Lepisosteus oculatus: one gene and its partners. The protein of the gene in region 2 interacts with the protein of the main gene of each other region in a pairwise test. Links are inferred from orthologs where the notes say so. Each region holds a gene or a part of one and is shown on either strand. Other genes may lie near its edges. The genes, in order: ndrg4, agtrap, mrm1 and pdhx.

The links.
Region 1: the proteins of agtrap (region 2) and ndrg4 interact in binary tests that used the Homo sapiens proteins (3 or more experiments, as listed by UniProt). The two-hybrid records come from large-scale screens. The link is inferred for Lepisosteus oculatus from reciprocal best matches to the Homo sapiens genes AGTRAP and NDRG4.
Region 3: the proteins of agtrap (region 2) and mrm1 interact in binary tests that used the Homo sapiens proteins (3 or more experiments, as listed by UniProt). The two-hybrid records come from large-scale screens. The link is inferred for Lepisosteus oculatus from reciprocal best matches to the Homo sapiens genes AGTRAP and MRM1.
Region 4: the proteins of agtrap (region 2) and pdhx interact in binary tests that used the Homo sapiens proteins (3 or more experiments, as listed by UniProt). The two-hybrid records come from large-scale screens. The link is inferred for Lepisosteus oculatus from reciprocal best matches to the Homo sapiens genes AGTRAP and PDHX.

What each region holds. Positions count from the first base shown.
Region 1 is NC_090715.1:12,051,278-12,059,284, forward strand, and holds the start of ndrg4 (protein NDRG4), read right to left. Parts: upstream 3,008-8,007; 5' UTR 2,779-3,007; intron 1-2,778. UniProt on the Homo sapiens protein: Contributes to the maintenance of intracerebral BDNF levels within the normal range, which is necessary for the preservation of spatial learning and the resistance to neuronal cell death caused by ischemic stress.
Region 2 is NC_090720.1:5,640,905-5,648,260, reverse strand, and holds the start of agtrap (type-1 angiotensin II receptor-associated protein), read left to right. Parts: upstream 1-4,347; 5' UTR 4,348-4,362; coding exon 4,363-4,500; exon of another isoform or gene 4,501-4,581; coding exon of another isoform or gene 4,582-4,608; intron 4,609-5,118; coding exon 5,119-5,153; intron 5,154-6,332; coding exon 6,333-6,444; intron 6,445-6,902; coding exon 6,903-7,116; intron 7,117-7,356. UniProt on the Homo sapiens protein: Appears to be a negative regulator of type-1 angiotensin II receptor-mediated signaling by regulating receptor internalization as well as mechanism of receptor desensitization such as phosphorylation.
Region 3 is NC_090721.1:7,566,955-7,574,826, forward strand, and holds the start of mrm1 (rRNA methyltransferase 1, mitochondrial), read left to right. Parts: upstream 1-4,872; 5' UTR 4,873-5,296; exon of another isoform or gene 5,297-5,300; intron 5,301-6,550; 5' UTR 6,551-6,578; coding exon 6,579-7,399; intron 7,400-7,872. Other genes in the region: dehydrogenase/reductase SDR family member 13-like, read left to right, coding at 449-575, 1,235-1,353, 1,604-1,727, 2,316-2,642, 3,384-3,631. UniProt on the Homo sapiens protein: S-adenosyl-L-methionine-dependent 2'-O-ribose methyltransferase that catalyzes the formation of 2'-O-methylguanosine at position 1145 (Gm1145) in the 16S mitochondrial large subunit ribosomal RNA (mtLSU rRNA), a universally conserved modification in the peptidyl transferase domain of the mtLSU rRNA.
Region 4 is NC_090716.1:14,266,329-14,273,840, forward strand, and holds the start of pdhx (pyruvate dehydrogenase protein X component, mitochondrial), read right to left. Parts: upstream 3,012-7,512; 5' UTR 2,808-3,011; coding exon 2,672-2,807; intron 56-2,671; coding exon 1-55. Other genes in the region: apip (methylthioribulose-1-phosphate dehydratase), read left to right, coding at 4,340-4,393, 4,889-4,989, 5,919-5,967.

The DNA of each region.
Region 1 (8,007 bases), on a different chromosome or scaffold from region 2:
TTTAATGTCTTGTGGTATCATACATTGCTTTGCATGCTGTAGATAACTGCATGACATTGATTCCAACTTTTTTCTTGTACCTCTCTTAACAATATATGTAACTAGAATAATTTACATACATTATATATGATATGATGTCACTTTACACAGCCATTGTGTAGTTTATATTAACAGCACAGCAATTGCTCTGATTGTGGATTTCAGAAGAAAATTAAAAATGCTACAGGACACCTTGAATATATCATTGTACAGTTAACTCCGCCTACACCTATATCATTTAAATTTAAAAATATTCTCTAGCTTTTAAATCTATTAATTGTATTAAAATGGGTATTAATCCAATAGGTTTCTAATGCTTTTGCTTAATGTGCTGCAGATCATGTCATGATGTCATGAAAGGTGCTACTGTATATACACAAAAGATTATAAATACAATGTTATCCAAGTCACCTTTTATAGAGAGATCACTAAATAATTTACAACTGTATTAAAAATATAACATTCAGAATTCTGTTAAAGAACTCAATTGCATATGCTTTCTTCTTCAGATTGTGCAACATAGACGTAATTGGATGGTCGTCTTCTTAAGAGATATTAAATCTGCCTGGACGTGTCACAGTGAGAGAGTGGGATGACAAAAAAACGAAGTCAAGAAAAGAAAATCAATTGAAACATCCTGGGCATCACAGCCTGAAGCTCAAAAGCCTCAAAAGGTGGGATTGACTAGGCATCTATGCTGTCGGGTTGCATGTCTTCCTAGCGGCATGAAAATCAAATAAGAGTAGAAATACTCACTCCTGGGTCTCCAGGTACAGGGTGACATGGGGATTCGCTCTGCCTTATTGATCAAAATGACAGCTTGATTTAAAGCTTTGATGTCCCATCTGATTATCTGAAAGCCTGCAGAGCTGTGATTGCCCAGGAACAGAAGCAAGAGGGATTTCATCGCCAGAGTTTTCCATATCAAACTCTTCTGAACCCACAAGCGGCTCATCCCCTGATATTGGTCTCTCATTCCAGAGTGTTGACGGGTCCCAGAAATCCCGGGTGGTGTTGTGTGGTGGTGCTGACTTTGTCCGGCAGTGTCCGGTCATACTATACCACCAACCTAGCTGAGGACGCCGGCACTGCAGGAGCAGGTTGGCCCAGCAGGGGGCACCTCTAACAATAAAACTCAGAAGGCATTTCTGTGATTGACTGCGCACCTACAGTATATGCTTGGTTAATATCAGGGCTACCTTCCTGTGGGCAATGCAGCACTGCTACTTTCAGTTATCTGATTGACGGTTAATATCCGTCATATTCAAGGAATTACTCTACTACTTACAGTACACGTTTGGGAGCATGAGGACTTGGGGATAGTGAAGAATAAGAGAATAAAGAAACAGAAGGGGTAGTTGAGCATTCTATAAAAATTAAATTAAAAAAATGTAATTATTTGAGACATACTACTTCTAATTAACACGATTGTTGTGTTTAGCGAGTTGTATAGATAAAGGGTTTTTATACTTTTCATGCAACAGAATCTGGAAAATATTCAACTATTTCTCCTTAGATGTATTCCTGATTTCCCAGTAGATTTCACAAAGACTAGTCTGTTAAAAACAAACCCCTTCCAACATTTGCTATGTAAATGACTTTGGTTTGATCTTTTTTAATCAAGCATGTCACTCTTGCATCACATATCCAGCCTGTATTATGTTAGATGGATTAAAAGCAGCTTCATACAAATTATTTCAGATATCTTTACAAATATCACATAGTTTGCATGTAAATACTAATTAAGAAATTTTAAATCGGACAGCTTCACGATCATTTTCTTTCATGTTTTCCAAACAATATTGGATTCTTGAAATGGAGAAAGAGTTAAATATCTTTATGTTCATCCAGATCTTTCCTTTGTATAATGTTTTTTTAATAAAGGTTTTCATTGAAGATTCCCTTACACCATCACAGCCCCATGTGGGGCTCCAGATAATCTGATACTAGCAAATAAAAAACGTTGCTTGTGAATTAAGGCAGATGAAAAACAGGGCCTGTGAAGGTTTTTAAATTGTTTTTTTTCAATAATCCAGAAATGTCACATCTCTCAAGCAATTTATTGTGCAATATTTTTTTTATTTCAGTGCTGTACATAGCAATCTCCTCCTGCCAAACTTATATCCCCAGAACAACAGCTTTAACCTAAATGCCTCCTAACAATTTAGAAGTGTTTAGCTCTTTGCTTATAAAAAGAAACCACTTAACGAGGAATTGTGTATATCCTGTATTCCACTTGATAAACTGAGCTGTGCTTTACGAACATTTTGACAAAGTTGCCCGTCACTTCAATATTTATAAAACCAGTAAAAATAAGAGACACTGGATTCAAAACTAAAATTTGTATTGTTGAATTTCAGAATCTCCTGTTTAGCCAGAGGAGAAGCATGGCATTACAGAGGGTATTCTGATAAGGTCTTTACTTTGATACATATCCAGTGTTTAGATTTCCCATTTAAAGCAGAACTTCAGGGGTTAATTAATTCACCTGATGGTGTCCTGATGCCATCGCAGATCGTGGAACACTGACGCCATGCCAGTCTTGCCCATTATGGACTAGTATGTAACACATGAGCTCAGAAATCTGGGTGTAAGACTGCAATACAGCTCCCCTGATCATACCGGCAGCACATCCAGATTAAAGAATTCAAATTAAAAATAACTCCACGGTGCTGAACAGAATGTGCAGTTTAAAGCCCACAGCTGATCGCCATGCAGATGATAAATAAAGTCTCCTACCTGTTGTGATGTGGTTTAGGCTGGTTTCTTTGTGCTCGTGTCTCCTGTTCTCTCGTCCTCGGCCTCTGTGTGCGAGGAACAGCCTACCCTGGGAGAACGCGCCTGGGTGGCTTGTTCTGAGAGGCAATAAACAGAAAGCACGTGCGTCTGTGGTGATGCGGCAGGGGAACTGACGAGTGTGCAGACTCCCCCTGCTCTGTGAGGCTGGAGATGAGAGGGAGAGAGAGGGAGGGAGGGGAGAGAGAGAGAGGTGGCTACTTCCACGAAGAGACCTAGACTGCGACAGGCAGCTCTCTGGCACCAGTCTCAAACGAATCAGGGAGATGAAAGCAGAGCAAAAAAAAATAACACCCACACAGGCACTTAGGAGTGTTTTCATTATAAAATGGTTTAGGTGAAAATTTTTGTGCATGTCTAACACCCCCCCCCAGAGTTAATTATAAATTAGCCTGTCTTTCACATTTGCTGCTACAATACTGTACCTCATTCTCCCCTCGAGTTCTCCATCTGAGATCATGTTTCTCTGTGATTTCTACTAAAAGCTCATTTTTCTGCCCTCGTGCTGTATATCTCACTAGATTGTTAATTGTGAAACAGCAGTTTCGTGCTGGCGATAGTCTCCTTGCTTTTAAACTCCTATTGGTATTGTTGCATGTTATGTAACATGCATTTGAAACTAGAATTGAGACTTGTTAGGCCTCAGGCCCTTCTGGGGCATGCTAATCTTGCAGCAGCATCTTTATGTTGATATATCTCCGTCTATGACACACTGCTACCAAGTTTTAAACAACAAGGAACCTGAACACCTAAAATATTTACAGCAATTTTTTTTTTGCTTGAGAAATAAGACACTTATAATCATAATAATGAAGTCTACATGAAGTCAGCATTTTTGTGACTTTTCATTGTACCTGAAAAAAAAACATTAATCTATGTTGGTCATTCCACAACTCTGGAGTTCTGGAGGCATTTTTTTAAAACACACAGTACAGAGGGATTGATCAAGATGCCTCTCCTGCAAGTTACTGTGGCTTTTCTGTATTTGCACAGGCAGACTCAACCCAGGGCTGTTTTTGTTCTCCTTTCCCTGAACAGATTGAGGTAAGCGGAGGCAGCCCTGATCAGATCGGAATCTCGCTCTGGAGAGAATGGTACATCTGAGCTAACAGGTAGGCAACAGGAGAGGAACGGGAGACCCATCCAGCAATGCACTGTGTAGAGCTCTGGCCTCAGGCCACAGGCCAAAGCTCACCCACCTGCCTACCTGCTCATTTTACTTCACCCCATAACCTACCCTTGTTCGCAAATAAGCACAACCCAACTGAGAACTGCAAATGTAGAGCTGTGATGGAGACAAAGATGATTTCTCTTGGGAAGGAAACCATCTTGGCTCAAACCCGGGCACTCTTGAGCCAAAATGGCTGCCGAGTTACTAATAATAATAATTGTTTACACTTATATAGTGCTTTTCTGGACACTCCACTCAAAGCGCTTTACAGGTAATGGGGACTCCCCTCCATCACCACCAATGTGCAGCATCCACCTGGATGCACAAATAGACAGAGCTGCTGAATCCGAATTCGAATTCACCTGGGATGAATGAGTGAATCTTGGAGTGCTCTGAGTGTAAGGAATTTTATGAGAAGGAAAAGAACTCTCTCTGTAAACTGCCACGGTTAATGGTACCCAAGAGCCTTAGAAGAGAGTAGCCCATAAAGTTAAGCCTGCATCTAAGAAGGAACAGCACATCAAATCAGCTGCTGTAATGTCAAGGGCGCCTGTACTGTTGTGGAGGTGTATCCCTGAAGAAATGGGATCATCCAGAATGGAGAATGAATGAAGGCTCCATAGCCAAGCATTATGTAGTTGTTGAGTTCCTGATCTTGGGACTCAGCAAGCTTTACACGACATAATGAATTCTACTGGGTGATGTATCACAGGTCCTGGATGGGCAGGTTGCACGCTAGCCTGTCCTAATGATGAAGACAAGTTCAGGAGCAAGCAAGTCTGATTCTGTTGTTCTTTATAAGGAAGAACAGTCATCTTGGCTCAAGGCTGCAGTCTTGTCATTCTCTTTTGTTCAAATTTACTGGTTAGATCAACAAAATCAAACTGGTTGGTTCTGTCAGGCTGGTGTTAGGAGGTGCAGTGATAAATGCTCACAGCCAGGAGGCAAGAGGCAGATGGACACAGACTCCTGCGCTGGGAACCAGTTAGGCATAACAACCCCACAGCTGTTTCTTCAAAGCCCAAGGGCAGGACAGAGATAAGGTCAACATTGCTCTTGGATTTGGTTATCTTAAGTTAAAAATAAAAGCGCCTGCACAAGCTGCCCTCTGCATGACGGACCTGTTGTGGACATGAGCCTGTGAAACTGCTGATCTGATCCAAGGGCTGTGAGCAGCAGACACACCCCTCCACAGAAAAAAACAATAGGAGAAAAACAAAACAATCAGGCCCAGAAAATGGAAATGATCATTAATTGCATTTATACAGCACTTCACATTCCAAAGGATTCCCCTTGGCAAGCATACAGGAGGGGAGGTATTGCTTTCACCATTGAAATGTGGTGTTTTACTCTTGAAACAAATGCAATATCACAGTTTTACTATTTTACTTACAGTAACAGCCTTACAGTCTTCCTAACCCTAGTTCAACCCAAACCTCAACTCTCAGCTTAACACTTTCTCAACACTTTTGTTGAGGTTCATCCAAAAATACTTTCTAGAGTACAAAATACCAATGGACAAAAAAAACATGTATTCAAAATGGTCTTAAATTACCTTAGGATATCCTGGAGAATAATATTACAGAAATGTGATCAATATTAACATTGAGTGCATTTAAGGGTTCAAATGCTATATGGCACTGGTTTAGGCCTGATGATTTGTTTGGGTTTCTGCTCAAGATTGTTCATATGATATTTGTTTCACACCACGTAGTACACAGTAGGAATAAACTAACAATATATTTTAGGCTTATCCTTGTGTAGAATGCAGGGCCGGATGCAGATGCTCATCCAGAAGGCTGATTTAAGAAAGGTTTTGGAAACCAGAAATTGTAAAAGAGGTACTGTAGGGGGGGGCCTGTTTTCACATTCACACTGAGGTATGCAAGAGCAAGAGCACAATGCCAGCTAGTATAGCACAGCAATGTTGTAACAAGTGGAGAGTAAAGGCCAGAGAGGAATGGTGCCGTACATGTGTAATGCAAGTGTGTAGAAACCATGAAAGAGCTGACTGAATACACAACACTTAAGGCAAAACCAAGTCAAAATTGTACCAGCAGTTTGCAAATGGAACTTGGTGAACATTTCAAGAAGTGTTCGTTTGACAGGGGAGGGCTCAATATATGCAAAAGATTATTCTATGAAATTTGCCATCTAAAACCAAACGACTGGGGATGGAAGTCATGAGTAGTGGTGGGCAGGAATATGTTTTAAATTCAAGTTGTGCTGAAGTTCACAAACTTGCATCTTGTCTGAGGACTCCACAGCATGGGGCATCTGCCCTTCAGCTAAAAAGCTTTTCTGAACTGTTGGAAGAAAGCAGAATACAAGAACAACACTGGCACACACTCTCCAGGTATTTGTGCATTTAGTAACACAAAAAATCCTTTCACTCTGCAAGGTGACCTACAGTAACTGGATGGAAGCTCAGGCTGATGAAGGATGTGTGGACAGGCAGACAGGTGGGACCGTTCCCTCTAAATCAAAAGCTCCAAACAAAAACTCCAGTTTAGGAAAGGGGACACTATACTGTAGAAGATGCCATTCTGGAGTAGATTTTACACAGAGGACCTGACCACTTCAAGACCTGAGTCATTACAGATTCCAATTGTGCTGTTTGCAAAATGCCGGGCCTGGTGGACTGGCTGAATTCCACAAACGTTACAGTATAAACTACCTAAACATCTCAACACATCTCTTTCTGATCTTCTGTTTCTATGAAAATTGACATCTAAAAACCCAATCAGAAAATTATTGAGCATCTAGTTTAGATGGGCCGGCATGCAGGAATGGAGATTTTTACAAAGTGATTCACCTTCAAAACATAAAGTCGCCCCTGTATAGGACAGTGTTCAGTGCCATTCAGCTGTGAGGAGCCATCATTATTGCCATTGCAGTGTGTTTACTGGATGGGTCCAAATCACAGTGACCTTAAAGTGTCAGATGTTTTAAATCCCATAAAAGCCTTCGACAGACATATCATCAAGTAAAAACCCATACTCATTCCAAGCTTTTTTTGCTTTCTCGGTATTTCAGCTGAAGTTAATATCTTCATTCAGTAGCTATTGAAAACCATTGTTATATTGTATGTTAACAGCCGACAGTATTTCACAGATCCTGGTGGCCAGTATTCAGGCACCCCAGGACTCTCTCTGACTCACAGCATTGCTCTACGGACAATGTTTGCCTTTCACTCTCCTACTGTACATCTACAGCGAACCATAAAAGGTGAAAACTAACAGGGTTTCTAGAACAAAAAGAAAAAAATGACAAATGACGTGTTTACAAAGAACACTAAACATTGCACACTAAAAGGTCTCAGCATGAGCCACGCTTTTGTAAACTGATTATAATCAATGTTTAGCAGAATTACAGAAGCAGTTGGAGCTAGGACAGTTACTCAAACCTGCACAGTGTCTCTTAGCAAGGCGTCTGCATGGTTGCTTTTGAGTTATTCTGGGTAATTAATAAAAATCAAATTGTAATAACCTATAACACACTGCTTTTACACCTCTTTGCATGTTTGAAGCAGAAGTGGTGCACTACTGTTAAATCTCACTCCCTTCAGGGATGCATGAATTCAAAACACATCACTTCCAACTGTCTGCCTCAAAAGCTGCAATTCACCGCCAGCACCTCACCAAGCTGCCCGACTGTAGAAGTGTTTTTTTTTTCTCATATTTTCATGTTTTTGCTCTGAATCCTTGAGCTACAATCGTGATTCCATTCTCCTCTTGTGGAGAAATGGGTGCTGCTCTTCAGCTGGTGATGAAGTAGATCTCTGCTATGTGTAAAGACCTTTACAAACGTTGTTGTTGTTACGGTATCTTGCTTGCACAGCCATTGGCTGTGGCATCATTCCTTATTTCCATACACAGTGTTGCAGCTCCTGCATCACTCTGCGTGTTGCACTGTGGAAGTTACCGTCATCTGCAAAACTGTGATGCTTCACTGACCACATGGGGATTTATGTACAGTAAGTTATCTCGGATAAAGGAACA
Region 2 (7,356 bases):
GCGAATAATGTGAAATATCTGCTTCAAAAGCTTCATAGCCTTTTAATTTGAAGAAACATTATTGGCAAATGTTGCGATCAGTCAATGTTTGTAAACCACCACTGGGTCTAATCCTAATTCTGTCTCTGACTCTAGCTCTGGGCTCAGAGTTAAGGTTGGAGCTGAGGTTAAGGTTAGGATTTAGAGTTTGAATTCATGTAGTGTAGCACTGGAGTATGAGTTAGACCTTCAGTTAGGCCTAGGTTAAGGGTTGGAGCAAGGTTGTGCTTAATGTTAGGATTGGGGTATATGTGAGAGTTAAAACTAAAATAAGGGTAAGGAGAAGAGACAACCTCTTGAGAATAGCTACACTGTGGGAGGTATTCAAGATAAACAGCAAAGATTATGTCAGTGTTAAGTTTAAGTTTGGAGCTATGGTTAAGTGCTGGATTAGGGTTAGGCTGGATGAAAGTTTGGAAATTGGGTTGGGGAGGGCTTGTGTTTAGTGTTTGGATTAGTGTTGCAGCTAAGTGTTGTATGGGATAACATGAACTACTCCCAGACCAGCCACACACTGGCTAACTTGTTTTGCCATTGTACTATATTTTAGTAGTCCTACCCTCTGCACCCACTTTTGAAATCGCCTTCATCACTGCCCCTGCCACCACCCACACAGTTCCATACACTTTCACCTTTCTCGCTTCCTGCACAAGCCAAGAAACTCTTGATTTTTATGCAAACTTTTATCAAATGATTGATTTTGCTATTTATCTCACCCGACAAGAAGATACGGGTATTTTGACATTCACAATAGACACAATTTTTACTTATTTCACTGATTTGAGATCAGATCTTTCACAGAGTGACTTTTGTAGGCCTGTTTGTAGACAGCCCGAGAGTTTTAAAATGTGCAAATTGATCTTTTTTCCAGAAGCTCCTCTGTTAATTTCAGGTCAAAGATAAGCAAGACTGCTGTACATTATTATTGCATGTTGTAATAACATAAAGATGCATTTCCTCTGTTAATGATATTTATTGACTTATGAGATTTAGTAATGTCACAGATGTTATGACCTTGAGTTCTGGGTGGCCCACTAAACTCTTAGTATTGATCATGCATAAGTTGTAATTTAAGACAAGCTAAATATATTGACAAAATTATTCTCTGATGTGCTGCCTTTTCTAGCTCATAGATACAAGGATACAGTGCTTTGGGAAGATGTATTTTGTTGATGGAGCTTGTATCCTATTTTAAAATTCAGTAAACCCTCAGTTTTATGAACTAACAGAGGCAAAGTGGTGTCAGGTATAAGTCTGTTAAATAATGTAGAAAATACATACATATATATGCTTACTGGGTCTTTTAACTTTGAATGGCTACAACACAGCCAGTGAAATTGTCCATGTGCCTTATGTAAATATACTAGCTCTTTATTTAGTGTACTGTAAATATATGGTATAAAATTTGCTAAAGTAACAAAACATAAATAACTTCCATTGTAAGCAATTGACCTGGATAACAGTACAAACCAATGAAATATTTATTTTTGCTTTGTTTAATTATTGGTGCACTTCATTTTTGTGGGAAAAGTCCGATAAAAAGAAAATGATTCACTAGGAATAACAGCACCCGAGAATTAAGCGTCCTGAAGGGATTATGGGGTGTTTGATGAAAATTTGACTTAACCTGCTTGACTGAGGGCTGACCCCTTACATACACAACAAAGACAACACCTATGAGTATTTATAATACAAGTGTGCAGTAGAGCTTCTGTATTCACCTGACCAATGAATACAGATTTCTTGAGTGTGTGAAGGAGTGGGACAATTTAGTGTGAAGTAAAAGTGATTTCTTCTGTAACTGACTACCTAACAGTTTTGCAGTGCTTCTGCAGGTCAGCTCCTAATGAATACCACTGCCAGGCACTCCAGAGTTGCCCCACCCCTCTGATAGTGAGGTGGCCAAGCCCAGCCCATCTCCTCATATGCATTAGCTGCAAAGTGTCTACTTGTATTCTTTTTATTTTCATTGAAAACTATAAAAAAACAATGGAGAAAACAAATGAATGAACGCCCAGTGTGGGTGTTGGGCTGCTGGAGCTGAGGAGTTTGTGATGCGTTTTGCATCTCCAAGAATTCTACCTAATACTGTATAACTGAGACCCCTTTTCAGTGCCAGTGAATCTGAGCCCCGTGTGAATCTCAAACATTCTCCTTAAGAAAGAACATGGATATATACAGTATATACTGTATGAAACATCAGAGCACCGTGCCAGGACTGTTCTGAAGCACCAGGTTGGTGTTCTGTAATTGTGTGCAAATGTCTTGCTGTACAAATCACTGCCTTAGCTGATGGAGCATCTTCACAGTACAATACAAGCTGATGCAAATGTGAGAGGCAATGATGTACAAGAGGAGTGGTATGAGCACAGAACAGATCACATGTGGCAGCTGACACCCCATGTGTTCCCCAGCTTGATTAAAGACGTTTTTGTATCTGTAATTTTCCAGCAATCAGACAAAGCAAGGTGCATATTTCTCATTACTGAATTGTTTATTCTGAGGTACGATTGTCTTTCACACTACTCTTTGAAAAACACCTTGTTTGGACAATGACACACGGGCAGAAGATGGACATTTCCTGTTTCGAACTGTTCCTGAAATCACCAGTATTCTGCTTCCCTCGTCTGTATTCCTCTGCCCCAGAGCAAAACAGATCTCGTACCAGAATGCCATTATGGAGGTGCTGCTTCTGCTGGCCATTCCACGCATGTCAAATACAGCCCTGGGTCAAGGCAATAGGATCACTAGAACATGTGCACCTGCAGCTGAAAACAGAGTAGGTCCACAATTTGTTGCTACGTTACATTAACAATAGAAGGATTGATCCCACATCTCAGAAAAAAATGAATGAATCTGTACGTTAAACAGGTGTAGCTGGGCCAGCAGAACCTCAAGGAGAGAGGAGGTCTGCAGGAGGAATGGGGGAGCAGGGACAGAGAGGAAGAGTATAACAGAGCCTCTCCACCGCCCCCTCTCTTAGAGCAGTGTCACCGAGCTCAGGGGTCACCGGGTCAGCAGGAGGGGTGATCCTGCCACAGGACCCCGCTCTTTACAACCAGCCCACCATCTGCTGTGCTTTTTGTAGCCCAACAAAGGAGGTTTTTAAACAGCCAGGCGTGAAAGAAGAGACTAAAGTAGAGAAGAAAGGCGCATGGCACACATTTCCACACACTTGCGGTGGGGCCTGTGCGCCGCTCTTTGATTTATAGACCCCCAGTCTTCCTGAAATTGGGAGCAGCAGAGGTTTCCATGACAGCTGCGGGCTTCTGTTTCAAGTTTATGAACATCCAGATCATGTGGAGCCTCCGGTGTCTGCTGTAATAATAGAAGATTAATTGGTTTGCAAAAAATGGTTACAAAAGTAATTAAAATTGTAATCTGGAACGTCTTCAGCTGCTTGCTAGTGTAATAACACACAAATAATGTAAGATGGGGACACAATTCACTGAGCCCAAGTTTGATTTTTTAATGAATTAAACAAGGACAACTTTTTAAGAACACTGAAGTTTTAATCAACAGATTTCAAATTATTTTATTAAGGAACCTTTTCATAGTAAGCTTATACTAAGAGCAGTCATCAAGGTTTACTACAGCTGGGGAATTCCACGCGTGTATTTCACATTTTACAATGCTTAACGCACCTATTACTCAATTCTTCATGACTCACAGACTTCATCAAAGTATCTTGCTGTATGTAACAAATGCTTTTGCATATATTTAAAATCTTAACTTCTCAAACTCACTCCTCACTGAGGTAACATTGCATCTATCTGCCATAAAAGGCAGCATTTCCAAGTGTAATGGTATGTTGTCTGTTCAGCGCAGAGATTTGGGAAATTCCTGGTGTGAACAGCTTGGAATAGAGACGTGCTCTCACCTGAAAAAGCAAACCAGTGTGTGTGGGCACACAGCGGGGCTGTGACCAGTGACCAGAGGCCGGGCTGTCATTACAACAGAATGACCTGCTTATTGAAAGGAGTTTTTTATTTTTTTAACTTTGAACACCTTAAACCACCAGTGCAAAAACACACCAAATACTAAGTGAATATGGATTTTAAATACCTGCTTTCTCCCTGGTATTAGAATAGACGGATGAAGATACATCCACATCCACATCCACATCCACATCCACATCCACATCCACATCCACATCCACATCCACATCCACAGAACCAAGAGGACCAGGAACTAGGAAAGTACCCTGTTCTTAAGGGCAGTGCAACTTTAAAGGGTTCTAAGCAGAATTTCACCCAATCATCTTTCAACACCCCTTCACTATTCCGCATCTAACGCAATTCCTTCGGTGGGTGAAGGCGGGGGATGAGGCTGCTGACGTTCACGTGGTGCTGTCAGGGTGGGCACGGTCACGTGGAGAGAGTCAGGCTGCCGTCACATGGTTTGTGTTTGCAGCTCTGCCACGGAGGGCGGAGACCGGGAAGTTCAGAGAGAGAAATTACGGTACTGTACTTTTATATGATTTCTGTTTGGACGCAAAAGCAAAAAAGGCTGAGTGGGAGTGGATAGACACTCGACAAGAGCATGGAAATTCCAGCCATAAATCTTAAGGTAAATATTAAAATTTGGATTGTTTATAGAAGTGCATGAACAGAAAGACAGACAGGTCTGTTAAATGTACGTCAACGTGCAACTGCTTTCTGTTTCTGTAATTTGCATTCAGTCAGTTCAATCTGATAAACCGTAGGAGATAATTAGTGGCATTTCTTATCCTGTCTTCAGCAGAAAACTGTTGATTTCCTAGATTAAACTGTATGTTGTAGAACATTTCATCCTATAAATGAAAATAAAAGTTTGTTTACGTGTAGTTCACGCTAAAAGTACACACAAGCTCCAAAGGGCTTATCTTCTGTACATCTCTACTTTTAAATGTAGAGCTCACACGTTTAGGAGAACTCATAAATCCACAACACAAGAAGTGACAATTTTGCGATCCGTCCGGGGGCCTGATTTTACATCTATGCGAGTGGCGCTGAATAAACTCTTTGCCACTACCGGATTATTATTTTATTATTAGGTTTTGGATAGCTGTAATGAACCTCTGTCTGCCTCTCCCCACAGGCAATTATACTGGTTCACTGGCTTCTGACAGTATGGTAAGCGGCTTGATTTTTTTTCTTTTCAAACAGCTGAGGAATTTCTCCGGCTGCCCTACTGCCGTTTTTAATTTTTGGAGGAGGGTATATGTACTTTCTAACCTTCCACTACCCCAACCCGAAAATAACTTTCTTTGCTTTTCAAGACTGCAGTGGTGCCTTCTCTAGGTTTTCTTTCGCTGCCCAGAGTTTTCGTGTTGACACCCAAAGCAGTGAATGATATCCTTTCCCTTTTCTTTTAAGTAAGAAAAGTAAGCATGTTGATTTAAAAATATATATATATATTGTAAGACCAGTCAATATGGGTTTATTACAAATCCTTATTATAGGTTTGAGGTTCAGAACTAAATATTTATTGTATGTAATATGTGTGGTTTTATATTGATAATCTGGATTATTATGGATTTAGGTCCGTATTCCTTAAACACTTTCTGTTGTGTACCTAATTCAGTGAATTTGCTAAAAGAAGAGAAGATTTCCCACAATGAGGAAGAAACTTTGGTATTTCTGACAATATGTATAGTTTACCATAATGGAAAAATGCAGAAACTAAACATTGCATTATTATTTTACTATTTGTATGACCCTAACCACTTTTTAACTATTCTCTTGTGTGGTTTATGCATCTAATGAGAAACATAACCGTCGGTTGTCGATTAAGAAAGCCTAGACTGAAAGTGAAGTTGAATTGAGCTGCAACAGGAAAGTAACGTGACTCAGTTCTCTGCTGTTAAAAAGGAAACAAGTTTACACAATGTGTGTTTTGCAAAGCGTTGTGTCCACTGTTACGTACAAAGTTATTGGTTGTAGATGTTCTGGGAGTTTTGATGAAATAGTTACAAGAATGGAACTCCACAATAAGTTAAGGAGCCCTTTTTACAGCTTATTACTGTGTGGTATTCTTAATTTCTCAGTATGAAAGGTAGGTCATACAGCACAGTGACAAAAAGGCACAATGAGTATGCTTGCAGTTTGTGCCACTCATAGAGAAGCCTCTGAATTATTCATATTTTAAAATTTAGACTAGCAAAATGTATGAGTATGAATAGAAATTCATAGAAATCAATGGGTTTTTTTGTAGCAATAAAGGCTATTAGCATCAACACACAGTAAGACATCTGGCTCTGGGGTTGTTGTGAAGCGAATGTTGAAGTAGAGCTGTCCTGTGCTGGTCTCCAGGGCCTGTATGTACATCTGGCTGCCTTCATCCTACGCTTGGGGTAACTTCAGTGTCCTGGCAGTGGGCGTCTGGGCTGTCGCTCAGAGGGACTCCATTGATGCTGTACTCATGGTGAGTTGGAAGACTTTCCACATGCTCCCTTGAAAACGATGCCGCATATTTGTTTTTTGACAAGTTGGGGAATGCACCCAATCAGCTAAGATGACACCTTTTCACGGCAAAGCCTTTGCTCCAAATTAAACCTGCGTTGTTGTACAACGGGTTAAAAGGAAGACAGTGTTGTGAATGTGTAGCAGCTCAGAAACACACAGCCCACATGGAGGAATGCGGCGACCTCTTGAGATATTGCACCATTTAACTTTACAGGAATCAGGACGTTGTCCGTAAGACACACACTGTAATGCATTACGCAATGTGGTGGATTTGGTTTTAATTTGCTTTCCTACGGTTTAAAAGTTGCACTTCGGTCAGCTTCCTGTAATAGCCTTTAGCTGTTGTGTTTCCCAGCGTGATTCCCAGTGCTTACCTACCTTGTCCTCTCTCCCACCCACTCCCACGCCTTCTCCCAGTTTCTGGCCGGAATGGCGGTGACGATATTGACCGATATTATTCATCTGGGAATTTACTACGCCGCAGTGGAGAGCGGCACGCCCCCCGGATTGAGGGACACGTTCCGCTTCTGCGCCGGCATGGCCATCCTCAGCCTGCTGCTCAAGCCCGCCTCCTGCTTCTTCGTCTACCAGATGTACCGGGAGAGGGGAGGCGACTGCAACGTGACCTTCGGTAAGCACAGGGCCTCCTCTGGGTCGGGGCCTGGCTGTGGGTCTGCTCCCGAGCCTCGGCCTGTTCTCATGCAGTCGTTGAGACAGGTTCTTTCATTTCTGTTTGGTATTAAGAATTTGACACCTACCAAACACTGCTGTGGATTGTAACAGGCCAAACAAGTTGAAGGAGTTTCTACTTGAGTAGGCCTGACTGCAGACGCTACATTTCCCTTGAACTCAGAAAGGATTTTCTGGATGC
Region 3 (7,872 bases), on a different chromosome or scaffold from region 2:
TCATCATGCAGCATAGCAATTTAATTCATTAAATGGTTTATCTGAAGCAGTGGTAGATCTTCGACTTGAAAGCATCGATCCGACTGCACGGAACCTTTTGAGGACGGGAACCAATTTTATTTGCCTTGTAAGACTTCTTGACGGATTTAACTGCCTGAATTCAAATCGATTCCATTGAAGACTTGTGTATGCAGTTGTGTGTGAGACGGGATCAAAATCTTGCGATTACCAATCAAGTGCTTGAAAGAGAGTAGCCTTGAAGTGTGAAATGGGGACATCTACTGGAGAAAAGCAGTGTTACACGTAAATAAAGAGGAAAACAGGAAGTGAATCCGACACTCGCAGGGAGGTGGTTGTAAAACTGGGAGGACAGTGTTTCTGAAACAACCCAAACAGCACAGTTAAACTCTGCAGCGCGGAGTCGGGTGATTGAAGAGCCGAAGGAGAAATGGCCGCTTTTTTAACTGCGATTGCCCTGGTGGTTTTTGTTTACTTGCTCATTTATTACGGCGTGTTTAAAGGTCAGGTGTGCAAAAGCACCGCGGTGCTGAAGGGAAAAACCGCGATTGTAACAGGTGAGCCAAGCTGTTATTAATTATAATGCCAGACGCGTGAATGAGTATTCCTATGACCAGCTCTCCTAGTGAAAGCCCTGATGCCACTCTCTGTGGTTTTCCCTTAACTTCAGCCGTGCTTTCCTGTTCTCTGCAGCGTGTTGTTTCTAAAGCTAGATCGCGTGTTTTCACCTCCAAAAAATTCTTAGTTCATTCATTAAAACTTTTTTTCTCAGTTTTTTTTTGGATACAGGATATTCATATTAAGATGACAAGATGTATTGCGAATATTTTACTCCCTGAAGTCCATGGTCTGTTCGGTCAGGGGCGATTTCGTACTCCTGGAAGATGATATTGTACCTGTGCAGTTGAAATGGTAGCTGTAGTGTTGAGTGTTTCTGCTGACATGAGTCATGTCTAGTGACCCATTTACGCGCCCTCCTTTTCTGAGGACCGCACAACCTTAAAAATGTTAGCACAAAAACGCAACACAACCCGCACATTCGAACATAACCTTTCCAGGCTGGGATCTAGCAAACTTTTGCAGCGCTGTCCGTTTCCACTGCACGCATTAACAAGGGAGGTAAGTCTTGCAACGGTGTCGATGTATGAACTCTGACCTTTGACCCCCCCACCTCTGATTTCTGACACCTAATGTCCTCGGTGTGTTTCTCCTCCAGGTGGCAACACAGGGATTGGGAAGGCCACGGCTCTGGAGCTGGCCAGGAGAGGGGCCAGGGTCGTCCTGGCCTGCCGCAGTAAGCAGAGGGCAGAGGCGGCCGTCTATGACATCAGGAGGGTAAGAGACCTGGTCTTTTCCTCTTTGTGTTGTCGGGCAGTCTCACACAGCAGTGAAGGGGAGTGAAGAACTGCACTAGCTGGGAATTTGTCACAGGAATTCGGTGTGCAGTAGTTCTGTCTGGGTTGGCAGTGCGCGTTACAGAATTAAGAGTGACCCGTCCCGTTGTCAAAGCCCCTGACCGGAGGGCCTGCTGGATCTGTGACAGTCTCCCTGGGCCTCGCTGCCTGCACACACGCTTGTCTTTCAGGAAACCGGCAGCAGTGAGGTGGTGTTCATGGAGCTGGACCTGGCCAGCCTGCAGTCTGTGCGCTCCTTCGCCGAGACCTTCCTGAAGACGGAGCCCAGGCTGGATCTGCTCATCAATAACGCAGGTGGGGCCCGGGGAGGAGGAGACCCGCAGGACTGGGCTCGGCCTCGCAGACACAGCTGGGCTCCTGGAGGGGTAGAGCCACACTTTGTATTGCAGTACGGCCCTTCAGAACACACCGCTCAAAATAGGTTTCCACCACAGACCCGTGACCAGGGACATGAGGCACAGCTGTCTGTTCGGTCGAAACGCTTCCAGTCCGCTGCCCTTCCTCCAGACAGGCAGCGGACAGTGTGCTGGGACAGAGCTCCGCCGACACTCCTCTGTGCTGGCAGTGCGTGAGTTCAGCAACAGAGCAGAAGCACGCAGGGCCCACCCATAACATGGAAATCTAGACTGCTTTTGCATGCTTTGGGTGTTTCTCCCTGTACTCGAACATCTTGGTGCAATGAGACCGTATGACGTTGCTTGAAAATTAGAGGGTAATTTAAGATACGACCACACATCCCTGTTCCGACTACACATATACTGAAATTAGCTTCTGGGAGATGGGGTATAGAATAAGGTCAAGCTACCATACATAAATCAGCAGTATGTAAGGATATGTGTCTGTGTATTTAACAGTCTTCCCATGGCTTTCTGACTGCCTCAGGTATGATGGGTCCAGGCAGGACTGCGGATGGTTTCGGCATGGCCTTTGGGGTCAATCACCTGGGTCACTTCCTGTTGACCTCTCTCCTGCTGGAGCGGCTGAAGGAGGGGGGTCCGAGCCGCGTGGTCAACGTCGCGGCGCTGCTCCACCGCCTGGGCGATATCGACTTCGGCACCCTGAGCACCCACAAAGACCTGGTGCCCCACCAGTCCGCCTGGCAGAACTTCAGGGCCTACTGTCACAGCAAGCTGTGCAACCTGCTCTTCACCCGTGAGCTGGCCAACAGGCTGGAGGGCACCAGCGTCAGCTGCTACAGTCTTCACCCAGGTCAGTGCAGTCCCAACACGCCCACTGCTCCAAATCTGCTTTCAGTGTACTCATCTCAGCTCTGCCGTGCTGACGCCATCCGCCAACAGTTGAAAATGCAATGTGCAATGTCTTGTGCTTAAGTCACAGGGGTCTATGTAACACATTTCACTATGTAACACAGTTTTGACGACAAATACTGCTTGTTAACTGCGCCTGCAGATCACGTTGGAACGTTTCTGCAGTGAAATGTCGGCTGCACAACCCATACTTTTTCTCGTACATCTCATTACATTAGTCATCGCAGGGACTAGTGAGCAGGAAGGGCCGCCTCGCATCTCGGTTCACATGAATCCTCTCACTCGCCCGTGGTGAGACCAGCGGTTTCCAACGACATGGCGACCGTACAGTACGTTCACAAAGTTCACGACTTTGTGCTGAATTCAGAATTCGTAAAATTACCGTCGGCGAATTTTATTTTGTAGCCGAGATTTAATAGCTGATCTGAGAATCTGAGGCTGCAGCTTCCTTTTAACGTGTGTTTTTAAATTAAGGATAGCAAGGAGTCTCGGCTGCCTGACTTCTGGTAATCAGCAGCGAACAAAAAGACGTTTCAGCTTGTTCGTTGTTGCACGAGAGATAGAAGCGTAAAACGAAGTCATCTCGTTTTCAGTGCCTTGGGAGGCTCTTTTGTGATGCGGTCTGCAGTCGTGGTTGTGACATAGAGGGCTGACCCTGCTGTCCTGTGCTTGCCGGCTGCAGGAGTGGTGGACACAGAGCTGGCCCGCGGGGTGGTGCCTCTTCTGCTGCCCGTGGCCAGGCTGTTCTTCCTGGACGCGGAGGCCGGCGCCCAGACCACCCTGCACTGCGCCCTGCAGGAGGGCATCGAGCCCCTCAGCGGGCGCTACTTCTCCTGCTGCTCCGTGCAGGAGGTGGGGGCCAAGGCCCGGGACGACGCGGTGGCCAGGAAGCTGTGGGAGGTCAGCGAGAGGCTGACCGGCCTGGCCTGACTGCACATAGGATCTCCACCGCAGACGAGGGAGAGGAGAGGGCGTCGGGATTTGGCCAGAGCTCGGTTTAGGGTTAGGGAAACTGCAATGCTGTGAGAAACTACTCTTCCATGTGTGTTCAAATGCTTAAATTGAGAGAGTGTGTGAGTAGACTTCTTGTCAAACATGACTTGAATATATCTCTGGGGTTTACATACATTTCATGATGAGAACAGGCTTTTTGGACCTTGAGTTTCCTAAATGCTGAGGACCAGATTAAACGAGAAAAGTTACCGCTATGCACACTATAAAGCATGGCTGTAGTGATGCAATTACTGCACTGATTGACAACAGGCTTGGCCGATTCTCTCACAGCCTGGAGCTGAATTCTGGACGATCTCAGCGCCCACAGCCCCCGAAATGTGGATGGTGGATGTAAATGAATGAAACGTTTTTCCTTCCTCGTATGGACGGCCTTTCCTTTGCATGGTGCTCTTCTGAAATTGGTGTGGGGGCCTCGAACAGGCTAGGTTTCAAGAGTGCAGAGAGGCACTGGGACAAGTGTGGGAGGTTTTTCCGGTTGTGCTGGATGGGCCTGTAACACAGGGCTGTTCAAGGGATGGGCGGCACTTTAATAAGAATGTAGCAAGTTTAGATTTTACTCGAGATTTGATTATATTTTTATTTTGCTAACTGGTTAGGAATTACCTGTTGGCATACATCATAGTTTTTATGGTGCCTCTAACTTGATCCAACATGGGTGGTGGCAAATTCACTCATACTGTTGCCTTCTGGCTGAGCATTTTAATCACATTTCTAAACCTCTGTGTCCGTGACCACAAGGACATTTGTTTTTCAGGTCTTAGAAGGTGCGCTGTCCTTAGAAGGGGAGACTTTGGTTTTTGTTTTTTGAGCCGCACGCTACTTCTGCTTGCTGTGCTTAATTCTTCTGTCTCCGCACGCGTCTGGTTATTTCTGCCTCGGTGTCTTGTCTGCTAAGTCCGCTTCTTCCAGGTCGGACAAGCTAAAAAACCCTGGAATTTCTGCCCGTGTTTCTCCGTGTAAGGAGGGTTAAGACTTTTTTTTTTAGAAATTTAAAAATCGGTTGTATTGCCCACATTGTCTGCCCAGCGGCTGTGGCTGAAACTGAATAAAAAGTTGATTTTCTCTTAGATTATTTCTTCGTGTTGATTTTCACTGAGTATGGGCACTGTTGCACGTTTATTGTAACGAGTGGAACAAAATTAAGTCGAGGGGCACTCTTTCAGTGGTAAGGGACATGCAGAGTATCCTGTAAATTCTCACGTTGAACCAATTCAGTTCAGATACAATATATAGCTCTTTTATGTATTGCAGAAATATTCAGAGGAGCAGTGTTATTGAGTTACCTGTATGAAACTGGGCATCTCATTGATGTTCTTGCCTGAGTGAAGTAAAACCCAATATTATTATATTCCTGCAGTTTCTTTCAAACCGGTAACATTTACCATTAAAAAAAAAACGCGAGAACCCTGATTTTTATTATGTGTTTAATTGTTGCTGTTTGGTCAATGGCAATGGGGTAAATTAAATGGGCGTCTTTTCTCTGGAGTGACGGAAGAGGGCGCTGTTTAATTTGTCGTGAGCGCAGAGGGTGGAAGTTGTTTCCTCGGTTCCTCGCGGCGGTGTTGCAGGAAGGAGTGTGATGTGTGTGAGTCCCGTCTTTTTTTTTTTATAAAAGGGGTGGCATTTCTTTTACATAAATTGGAATATGGGCAAATAACCTGAAAGGTGCCGGGTTTGTCCGTTAGAAAGTTTAAAAGACTAATCTCGGAGATCGAGAAACGCTGCTGCATAGCTGTATTGCGCGACGTTTCACTCCACGTGTAAAATTGCTGGGATAATTGAACAACAGAAGTACGAGGGTGTCCTGGTCATTGATTGCATCAGGAGCAGTGTTCCAAAATACATTATGTGTTTAAACCCTACCTTTGCTAAACCTTACACGTACTCTAAAAGGGTCCACATGTATATCTGATTTATTAGTAGAGTCCCTTTTTAATTTTTACTTTTAATAAAACATTGCCAATTGCCAAAGACTGACCCATTTTATCGATAAAGAGCTCGGTGTCCTTGCTTTACAAATAGTATGCTCAGATTCTTTAAGAACATGCCTCCTTTGATATCTCGTATGGAGTAACCTGCTAACCAGGTTACACAAGGTGGTGTTGTAATGAGGGTTTCAGTTGGTTACAAGCAGACTATCCTAGAGGGGATGAGTGAATTCACTGAGATCTGTTGAGGAGTGATGACAGGGTTCACCTGAGCCAGACCTTGTCCGTGTGGGTGTATGTGTAAACGGAGCTGAATTAAGATCCGCTGTGTAGTCATTTCAAACTATACAGAAATTTGAAGCAGATCTTTCATGCATAATGGTCCCCATCTTTTAATTGGTGTCATCACTCTGCTCCCCTCCTCACCGAGAGCTGGTGTGTGGTGAGAGTACTGGTTCACTATGGCTGCCGTCGCATCATCCAAGTGGATGCTGCACACTGGTGGTGGTGGAGGGGATCCCAGATACCTGTAAAGTGCTTTGAGTTGGAGTGTCCAGAAAAGCTCTATATAAGTGTAAGAAATTAATAATAATTATTATACATGAATGATTTATTTTTCTAGGCATTCCAGGATTGAAAAGCACTAGAAATTCTTTTTTTGGGGGTTCTTTAAAATTTACCTCCAGAACATGAATCGCAGTTGGAGTATTGCCCTCTCGGCCCTTGATGAACCTCTTAATTCAGCTCTTCAGTTCAAACTTGTGACTTGAAGTGGGGTATCCAGAAAACGTGCTATATAAGTGTAAAGGATTAATTATGGTGGGGAGCTGCGTCAGCATGCGTAGGCTGCAAAGGAACATGCTTAAAATCGCGCATGTTTCAGAGGTGGCCTGCTGTTCTGTTTCAGTCTGAGCCCGGCGACGCGTGTCCTGAGAATGAGGTTGTGGCTGGGGAGGAGTGCACCCGTACTCTGTGTGAGCAGTCTGAACAGAGCCACGGGGGTGATCTGTGAATCAATAACCCGTAGTCCCCCCTGGCAGTCCTATCATGCCTCCCTGCCACACCTCTCTGCGCGAGACAAGGACGGGGGGTCACGGAGAGGTCCCGGCGGAGGGGCCCGCGATGGCTATGGCGCCCCCTGTAGGCTGGGAGGTCAGTCTGAGCGCTCGGGAGTGGGGCAGCCGACCTCCAGGAAGAGCATGAGGTTCGGGGGCTCAGCCACAGCTGACCTGGGCTGCAGAACCGGAAGCCGGCTCTCCAGCGAGCTCCGGAACCTGAGCGAGGAGGACTTCCCCAGGAGGAAGCCGAAGGCTCGTGGGGAAAAAGCCCCGGCTGAGGCTGAACTCCGGGGCACTGAAATCGTGTTTGGCGCAGCCCCCTGCCTCCTGGCTCTCTCCCAGGGCAGGAGGAGGCTGTGCAGGCTCTTCGTGAAGCAGGGCCTTGCCCTGCAGAGGCCGGACCTGCAGCAGGCGTGCCGGCAGGCCCAGAGCAAGCAGGTGGAGGTCCAGCAGGTGAACCGGAAGGAGCTGGACAGGCTGGCCTCAGGCAGGGTCCACCAGGGCCTGTGTCTGGAGGCCAGTCCCCTGGGCTACCAGACAGACGATCCCGCCCTGGAGGGAGAGCCAGGCCGGGACTCGGCAGGGCCCCCTCTCTGGCTGGTTCTGGATGGGATCCAGGACCCGATGAACCTGGGAGCCATTCTGCGCTCTGCCTATTTCCTGGGGGTGGACAGGATCGCCAGCAGCCTGCGGAACAGGTACGTTCCAGACCTGTTTTCCAAAGGGGAGCTGCAGCCCCAGTTTCTCGGACCAGGGGGTAAATCTCGGTCACAAAATAAATGAATTAACGGTATCGCAAAATCTTACAAATTCAGAATTGAGCACAAAACCGGGAAGCAAAAAGTCGCCATGTTGCAAACCCCTTTGTCTCGCCAGGGAGAGAGTGAGAGTTCGTGCAAACTGCAACATGAAGCGGCCCTTCCTGCTCACTAGTCACTGTAATGGCTAACGTAATGTGTTGGACGAGTGAATAAATACAGGTTGTGTAGCAGATATTTCACCGCAGAAGTGTTTCACCGTCATCTGCGTGCGGAATGAACAAGTAGTGTTTGTCAGTAAAACCTCCTCGTAATATTTCTGTTGGATTAAAAGACGTGTTCACAAGCCTGCTTGTATGTCATGTCTAAGAGCCACTTCACCTTCCCGTACATATTGTTACCTTGTTCTGAGT
Region 4 (7,512 bases), on a different chromosome or scaffold from region 2:
CCCTCCTCCATGGTGGGGGAAAGAGCTGGCATCATCACTTTGACTGGGGCCACTCCTGAAGGACAGAAGGAAACACACCGACTCTTACAAGCAGCAGCAGCCACAGAGATGGGTGGAGGAGGAGGGTTACCAATAAATAAATTAATTCTCACACTTTATGAATCGTACAAAAACTTTACGGGACTATGTATAACCCAATTTATGTGACCCAAACAAATGTAATGTTTAAGGTTAAAAAAAAATCCTGGAGCAAAAAGTCCAGGTCTAGAAAAAACAGCCTTAATGGTACTGGACAAAAAAAAAAGAAAAAAGAAAGAGAGCACTGTACAAAAAGTTGACTGGATGATTCTAAAGTGGGAAACCACACATGAAGGGATGTTCCTGCAGATTTTTTGATGACCCCAAACCACAAAGTATAAAGCATTTAATTTAAAAGAAGATTATGGTTAAGGTTTGTAAAGCATTTGTAACACATGAGTTTGAATATTGTGCTTAGTTTTGCACACTATTCCACAAAAAGGATATCACAGCCATGGAAAGAGTTCAGACAACCAAGACAAACAAGAGTCCTTACCTCAAGAGGTACTGGTTTATCCAGACAGATTAAAAGAGCAGCATGTCTTTGCTTTTAACACAACAGAGCAAGAGGAGATGTATTACATGTGTATAAAACTGTAATGGGTACAATATACAGCAAACATAGTTAACCCAGGGGACTACTTCACCAAAAATGAATACAGGATCACAACTGGAAAGTAGCAGGGAATTAATTTAAGGTAGACTACAAAAATAACAGAATCCTTCTTGACAAAAAGAGTTGTGGATTTCTGCTCTCCCAACCAAGTAGCTGAGGTCCCAAACTACTTCAAGAAAAACAAAATAGACGATAGACTGGAATGGTCTAAGAACACTCAGGGTATCTAGATGAAGGGTCAGAGCCAACTTTACTTCTTGAGGAGGCTCAGTACAAAAAGTAAACCGTGATTAAAAAACAATTGCAAAGAGACTTTGCTGCCCCCTGCAGCCCCTTTGAAGAATCACAACAAAATGGAATTATTGTTCATTACTATTGCAATGATCGAATTAGCACTTCTTTTAAAATGCTTTCCACCCAGTTGTTCTGATTGCTTTTTGTTAATGAGTTCTACGATACCTTTTAAAACCTACTAAAGACTAAATCGTCAATGACACCATATCCTAATAGTACATGATGCTTTAGATCTAGCAAGTTAGACCGGTATAATGCATGGTTATAAGGAGAAAACAAACTGCATTAGAGAGATAGCCATGCAAAATTAAAACATGTAGCACTGATGAAGGCAACATGAAGGCCATGCAAAGGAACAGTAACCAAAGCAGTAACAAGAAAGGGACAGCCAACCCCAGTTGTACTAATCGACGCTGTGTGATGCAGGGCCTGAAGCAGAACATCATACAAAGGACTGCTATGCTCTAAGGGGGCAGACAAGCATGCCTTGAATGTTCTCTTTTTTTTCCTGCAGAATTTAAAGACTAATCACAAAGTAGTAACAATATGACACAAATCATGTATGAAAAATGATAGGAGTTCATAATCACTTGGTAAGGATTACTCTTTCATCTTCTCACTACCTGGAAAGATATAATGAATAAAATAACAGGATGTATACTGCAGCTGACTGTTCTCACCGACACTTATTATTGATGGCCGATTTTCAAAGTCTTGGCTTTCCATTGGATGGAAGTCAGAATCATGACTAGAACACTCAATAGCACTCACTTTCTGTTGTTCCACTTGAATGTAGCTTTGGACTCATTTTGTGGGTCACTGCTCTGATGAAAAGCGAGTTTTCATCCCAGTTTTAGGTTGGCTACTATTCTATCACATAACCTTCATATTGCCTTTGTCTCCCTTTAGCAGACAGAAGACTTTTTTTTCTCCTTTAGACAAGCAGCACCATAACATAATGAAAGGTAGAAATAGTGTTGAGTGGACTATGCAGTTTAATATAGTTTTGTTCATATACTCAATTTTACAAAGTTTATGTAATAGAAACATGCAGGGATCAGCAACAAGGTGGTGAGGTTGCCGTTAACTAATGCTACAGCAAACATGCTGATTACCCCCAGCCTATTCCAACATAAATCAACAACAAGATATAACATAATACACATAAAATGCATATTGTGAAGTAGTCCAGCTGTATAGCTGCGTTAGCATGCGTAGGCTGCAAAGGAACAAGAAAAGGTTTATTCCTGAGAACACAACGTTTCGGCTATGGAGCCTTCTTCGGGTGTGGACGGTGGAGGAAGGGTGTGCCACCGGAAGAAGGCTCAACACCCGAAACGTTGTGTTCCCATTCTTCTCTTTTCAGCAGGAATAAACCTATTGCTTGATCTAATGCACTATATAAAGAACTGCAATGTTATGTTTATGAATTAAAATCTAAACTCCTAATGTGTACAGTAACTTGAGATGATCAACGTTAAATGTCCCCGTCTGTTGTCTATTTCTGGCTTGTACGTGTACTACAATTTAGAAGGGGAACCGTGCGTGCTAGTCTTAACGCTTTAAAAACTTTAAAACAGCGTAAAAATAAAATACAGCAGTACAAGTAGCACACAACCTTCCATTATAACCCAGCCAGCGATGTGCGTTTTGGTTTTTATCATGTGACACGCCAACACTTACCAAACATTGGTGAGGACTGAAAAAAGTGCCGATAATATCCATCCTGAGTTTGGGTTAAACCGGTGCATTTCTTCAGTTTTATTAACCTCAAACCACTCAATATCCCCCGATGTCCCATCCGCAAGGAGGCCGCCATATTTGTGTCCTCGGAAATTACCAGTTACCCTACTGCCTTTCAAAGTTTTGCGTTTCTGAGTGCAGAAATGAATGGATACGTTTTTTACTGCATGTTTCACGTTAGTGCTGTTTAACGAAAATATGACATTTTCCCACTTATTTTAAATAAAACAATTTAAATTTAGGCAGGATAACTAACTACAAAAACAAACGACAATTGTGATAGAAGGACCCCATCCATGAGAAGAGGTCCTTCGCGCTTCTTGTCGCTTCCTTTATACGCAAAGCCTGCAGATCTGCGCAGATCTCACTGCACTCGGCGGTCGGGCAGGCAAGAGCAGAGCTGCATGCAAATTTCGACTGCTAAGCCAGAAAAGTCTGCAAACTCCGCACTGTTGCATATGCGCAGGCAAAGCCCAGCCCTTCCAGTTTAATTCAGTGTAGGTGTGTTATACAGCTCCCTCCTTAAAACATTATCAGTTGGTACCCAAACACCCAAGCTACTAAAAAAAGTAGGAGGAAGTAGGATATTAACCCTTGCTGGATTCTTCTTGTGAGGACCAGAGTTGTGCACCTGTGTTCATTTTGCCCTTGAGTTGTAGTTGATGTAATCTCCACCTCAAGCCAGGGGTTTTCTTGTGAAAATGTGTCCCCTGGACACAGGAATGCGGCATGTCACACTGTAACATGTGGATTTCACAATGTAGAGTAAATAAAGCAGGTTGGGATGATACCTTTTCACATCCACATCCTGCTTACCTCATCTTTTGCTGAATAGGTGGTCACCTGCTCCATCTCTTATTGTGTTGGATGAGAAGGGTTTGTAGCAGGAGGAGTTCCTGCAATGTTGTGCCTGCTTCTCTGCTGTATTTTGACAACCTTTGTTTCACAAAAATACATTGTGAGGGGGGAAGAACAACAGACTGGAGGCACACCTAAGGTAATTTAACACTTCTGACAGTAATTACAAGTGCAGTGTCAGTATATCTCTGGTGTCAGTTTACCTCTCTGGTACACAGAACCCCAGTTCCTATAGCCTTTATAGGTTAAATCATTAGCATCTTAGGAACACTCATTTGTTTCTCAATTAAACAAAAAGAAATGTTCAGTTAGTTTAATTCTGGTACTTGTGGGCTGGATAATATTCAGATTTTCAGAGCTGCAGATGATCCAGCAAGCTGTGCCTCACGATGATACCAGCAACATGCGCATCTTGTCTTCCAGAGTTACCGAGTTTACTGACCGGGGCTGCGCAGTGACGTCACATACGACGTCACATGAAGCGGACCTGTGCAGATCTGTGCAGACGCTGCGCAGACTTATGCAGCAGGGAGCAGCAGGGAGCAGCAGCCATCGAAAACCAACATAGTGGCTGTACTGTTTAGACTTTCTGTGCCTCAAAAACGTGAGGGGTGGGTGGCGAGCGGTTTTCGTTTTCATCGTCCTGTTCTTTAAGGCGTTCTTGTGACCAAGTACACGGTCAAGGAACGAAAGCAAGTTTAGGCCTTAATTTAGGCATTAATTTTTATTTGCCGAAGAGTATTGCTAAAAATGTCTTCAGCGGTCTATAATCGCGACTGCTCTAAATGTGCCCAATCTATTGAGGTAAGTTTATCCAAAGTTGCTTTCTCAGAAATATAAAATGTGTTTACGTTACGTAACAATATTGAAGTTTTCCCCCCCTTTAAATCCGGACAACGCGAATGTCGATGATATAAACGTCGTTTACGCTGCCATGTGGTCAGCCTGCTTTTAGAAACTTTCAAGCAACAGACGCACATAATGCAATGTGCTAATTGTCCCTTTTAGCGTTTATTCTGTGGTATTGCCGCTGAATTATTATGACGTTCCACAATTAAATAATCACTCACGTGACAGATACCTTCGACATGTATTTTATTTGCGAGTTGTGGCCTTGCACAATTAAGAAATGAGCAGTATATTGCAACAAAAACAGCACAGATGTTGAGCTGCTCTGCACCGGATGGTGGTCAAGAATACTCCCTAGTGCCCTACTCCTTGAACTGACTGGACAGTAATGGAATTTGCTTGAGACAGAATGAGATTGCCGTTTGTTTTAGTGAATATTTTCCATTCCAGGACAAGGACAACCCAAGGTTGCTGATTCCTGAGCTCTGCAAACTCTTCTACCAGTTAGGCTGGGTGACAGGAACAGGAGGGGGTATCAGTCTCAGGCAGGGGTGAGTATGCCAAGCCTGAAGCTTAGAAATCTGGTGTGGTCATCCAGTGTGCAGCACCAATTCAGAGAACAAATGCCATTTCATAGAAAGAGTATGAAGTGAAGACAATCTTCATTCAGTTGTGCCCATTCAGGTTTGGGAAGGTGTGAGAGGCCGGTGACCCCAGACAAAATGTCTTCAAGGTGTAACTCGCCTTGCCATCTGGGGACAGAGCGCAGATCCTCCACTGTGCGTGCTGCGCTAGGCGTGAGGAAAGGAAGCCAGAGGCTGACCCTGTCAAGCCTCAGCCCTTTTAAATTCTCACCTGACCACTTGTCCTTGCAAACCGAATCTCCATTTTGTCTGGAGTCACTGCCCTCTTACAGGAGACTACCGTCTACTCTCTCAGCTGTGAGCCTAAATAGTAAGTCAACAGTGTGCTAAATCTACTGAGGCTGAAGCAGTAGAAGCATGTGCACTACAATGCATCTATATCACAAATGTATAAAGAGGTTGTCAAGAGGTAAACAGGATAACAGTGTTATAGGAACAAGTAATAGGTTTATTCCATGTTGAAAAGAAAAGAAAAAAAAACACGTTTTGGCCGTGGAGCCTTCTTCAGGTGTGAATGTGTGTAACAGGGATATTTCATCAAGATAAAATCCCTCCTGTAAGTTACTTTAAAATGTGTCTGATTTATACTGGTATGTTTTTTTTTTGAGGTGAAGACAGTCCTTTGTCATGTTCATGTGTTAGATTAAAAAAAGAGTGTCCAGGTGATATAGATTACATTCTTTATTGTGGAGAAGACAGGTGTAACTTCTCATTGGATAAAGGCAGTAACTGTCTTGTTCAGTTAAAATAAAGCAAGTAGTTCTTGTTACTTCACTTAGAAGCAAATGCTTAATGAGATTGTGTTCTGACTGTATCTCTCTGGCCTACCCCTTCAGAGATCACATCTACATTGCCCCCTCAGGAGTGCAGAAGGAAAGGATTCAGGTCAGTAAAGATCTCTGAGGAACTGCCTGGGACCTGTAACTGAATACCTTTTGAGTTTAATGCCTTTTTTCTCCCCTTGACATTAGGTGTCTGGTTAATGTATCTTATCTCAGGTATCTAGTCGGATAATATTTTTTTAGCTTTCATATAAGTCAGATATATCCTAGTACAATTTTAAATACAAAAAAAACAATTTTACCAATAAAATACCCAGATTGTTCAGAGTACGGAGCTGTGTTGGCATGTGAGCTTCAAATTAAAAGTTAAAGGTTATTTCTAAACTAAAAAGTAAAATAAGGACATATTTGTGGTGTATTAAGGAGAAAGTGTGTTGGATAGCAGAATGCTGTATCTTCTATGCTGTCTTTCTCCAAGCATGGAAGCAGTAGATTAATGCTAAGATCTCCTAATCTCTAGAGTGCTAGCAATCAACTACTGCACTTTCTGCATCACTTTGCAAACTTCCTTCCACCACAAATTAAGTGTTAATGTATCTTCCACCCATTTCCAGAACATAAACTTTAGTGTCAGCTACCCAGGACAAAAAAAAAACGTCTGTGTGTTACAACCCATGATAACTAATTCACTCAGTTATCTTCTTTTACAGCTCTTTCATGCGTGACACACAAGCTGAATTAGAATTAGTGTCTTTAATTAGAAAGGAAAATAGCAGTAAATTGTCAAAATACAAAACAAAACCTAACTGCTTTAGAGCCCTAACAAAGCTCTTCTCAAGTTTGTCGCTGAGCACAAAGTTTGGCAGAAGTACTGTTTACTAGCACCATCATATGTCTATATACTTTATTAATCATTGTCCTACTTGTCATGTGTAGATTCTGCTCTCAGGCGTTGAAAGCCTTTACTTCCTTGTTTTAGGTCATCACTTGGCAAATTGTCTTCCTTCTACTAGTAAGGTGATAAAAGGCAGCAGGTTATTCCCCACGTCATTCTGTAATTAAGCTGTATTTATCTTAATTATGTTAGCAATTAAATCTGATTAATTTAAGAAATATTGGCAGTATGGCCTCTGCAGGCATTGGGGGCCACACCTTGAAGCCACCCAAAAGAAGAATCCATGCTCCTAAGGCAGCTCAAGGAGTGCGAGGGGCTATTGGCCAGCCGACATCAGCCGCTCAGTGATATGTTGCTATGTATACTTATTAGGTTTCAAATGTTTCAAACTGGGTAACTGCCTTTCTAATGAAGGCTGTTGCTTTGAATCAGTCGCATAAAAATCAGATATTTACTGTAGGGTCTTTAGGAGGTGCCGGGGAGCAATCAGAGAAGGTATAGCCACAATGTTTCTGGATAGCAGGCTCCAGAGCGGGGGTGACAAGGGAGGAAGGATGAGAGGGACAATAAGACAAAGAGGGGGACTAGGCGACAGATAGGCTAAGTCTTGGAAGGGAACAGGGAACAGCAGAATCAACAAGGTCATCAATCAGTTCTGCACTGCAGTGTGGTAGAATGCTAAGTGAAAAGGTGCAGTTGGAGAGGGTGGGTTGCTGTTACAGGCAGGCGAGCTAGGAGCTTGATTAAAAACTC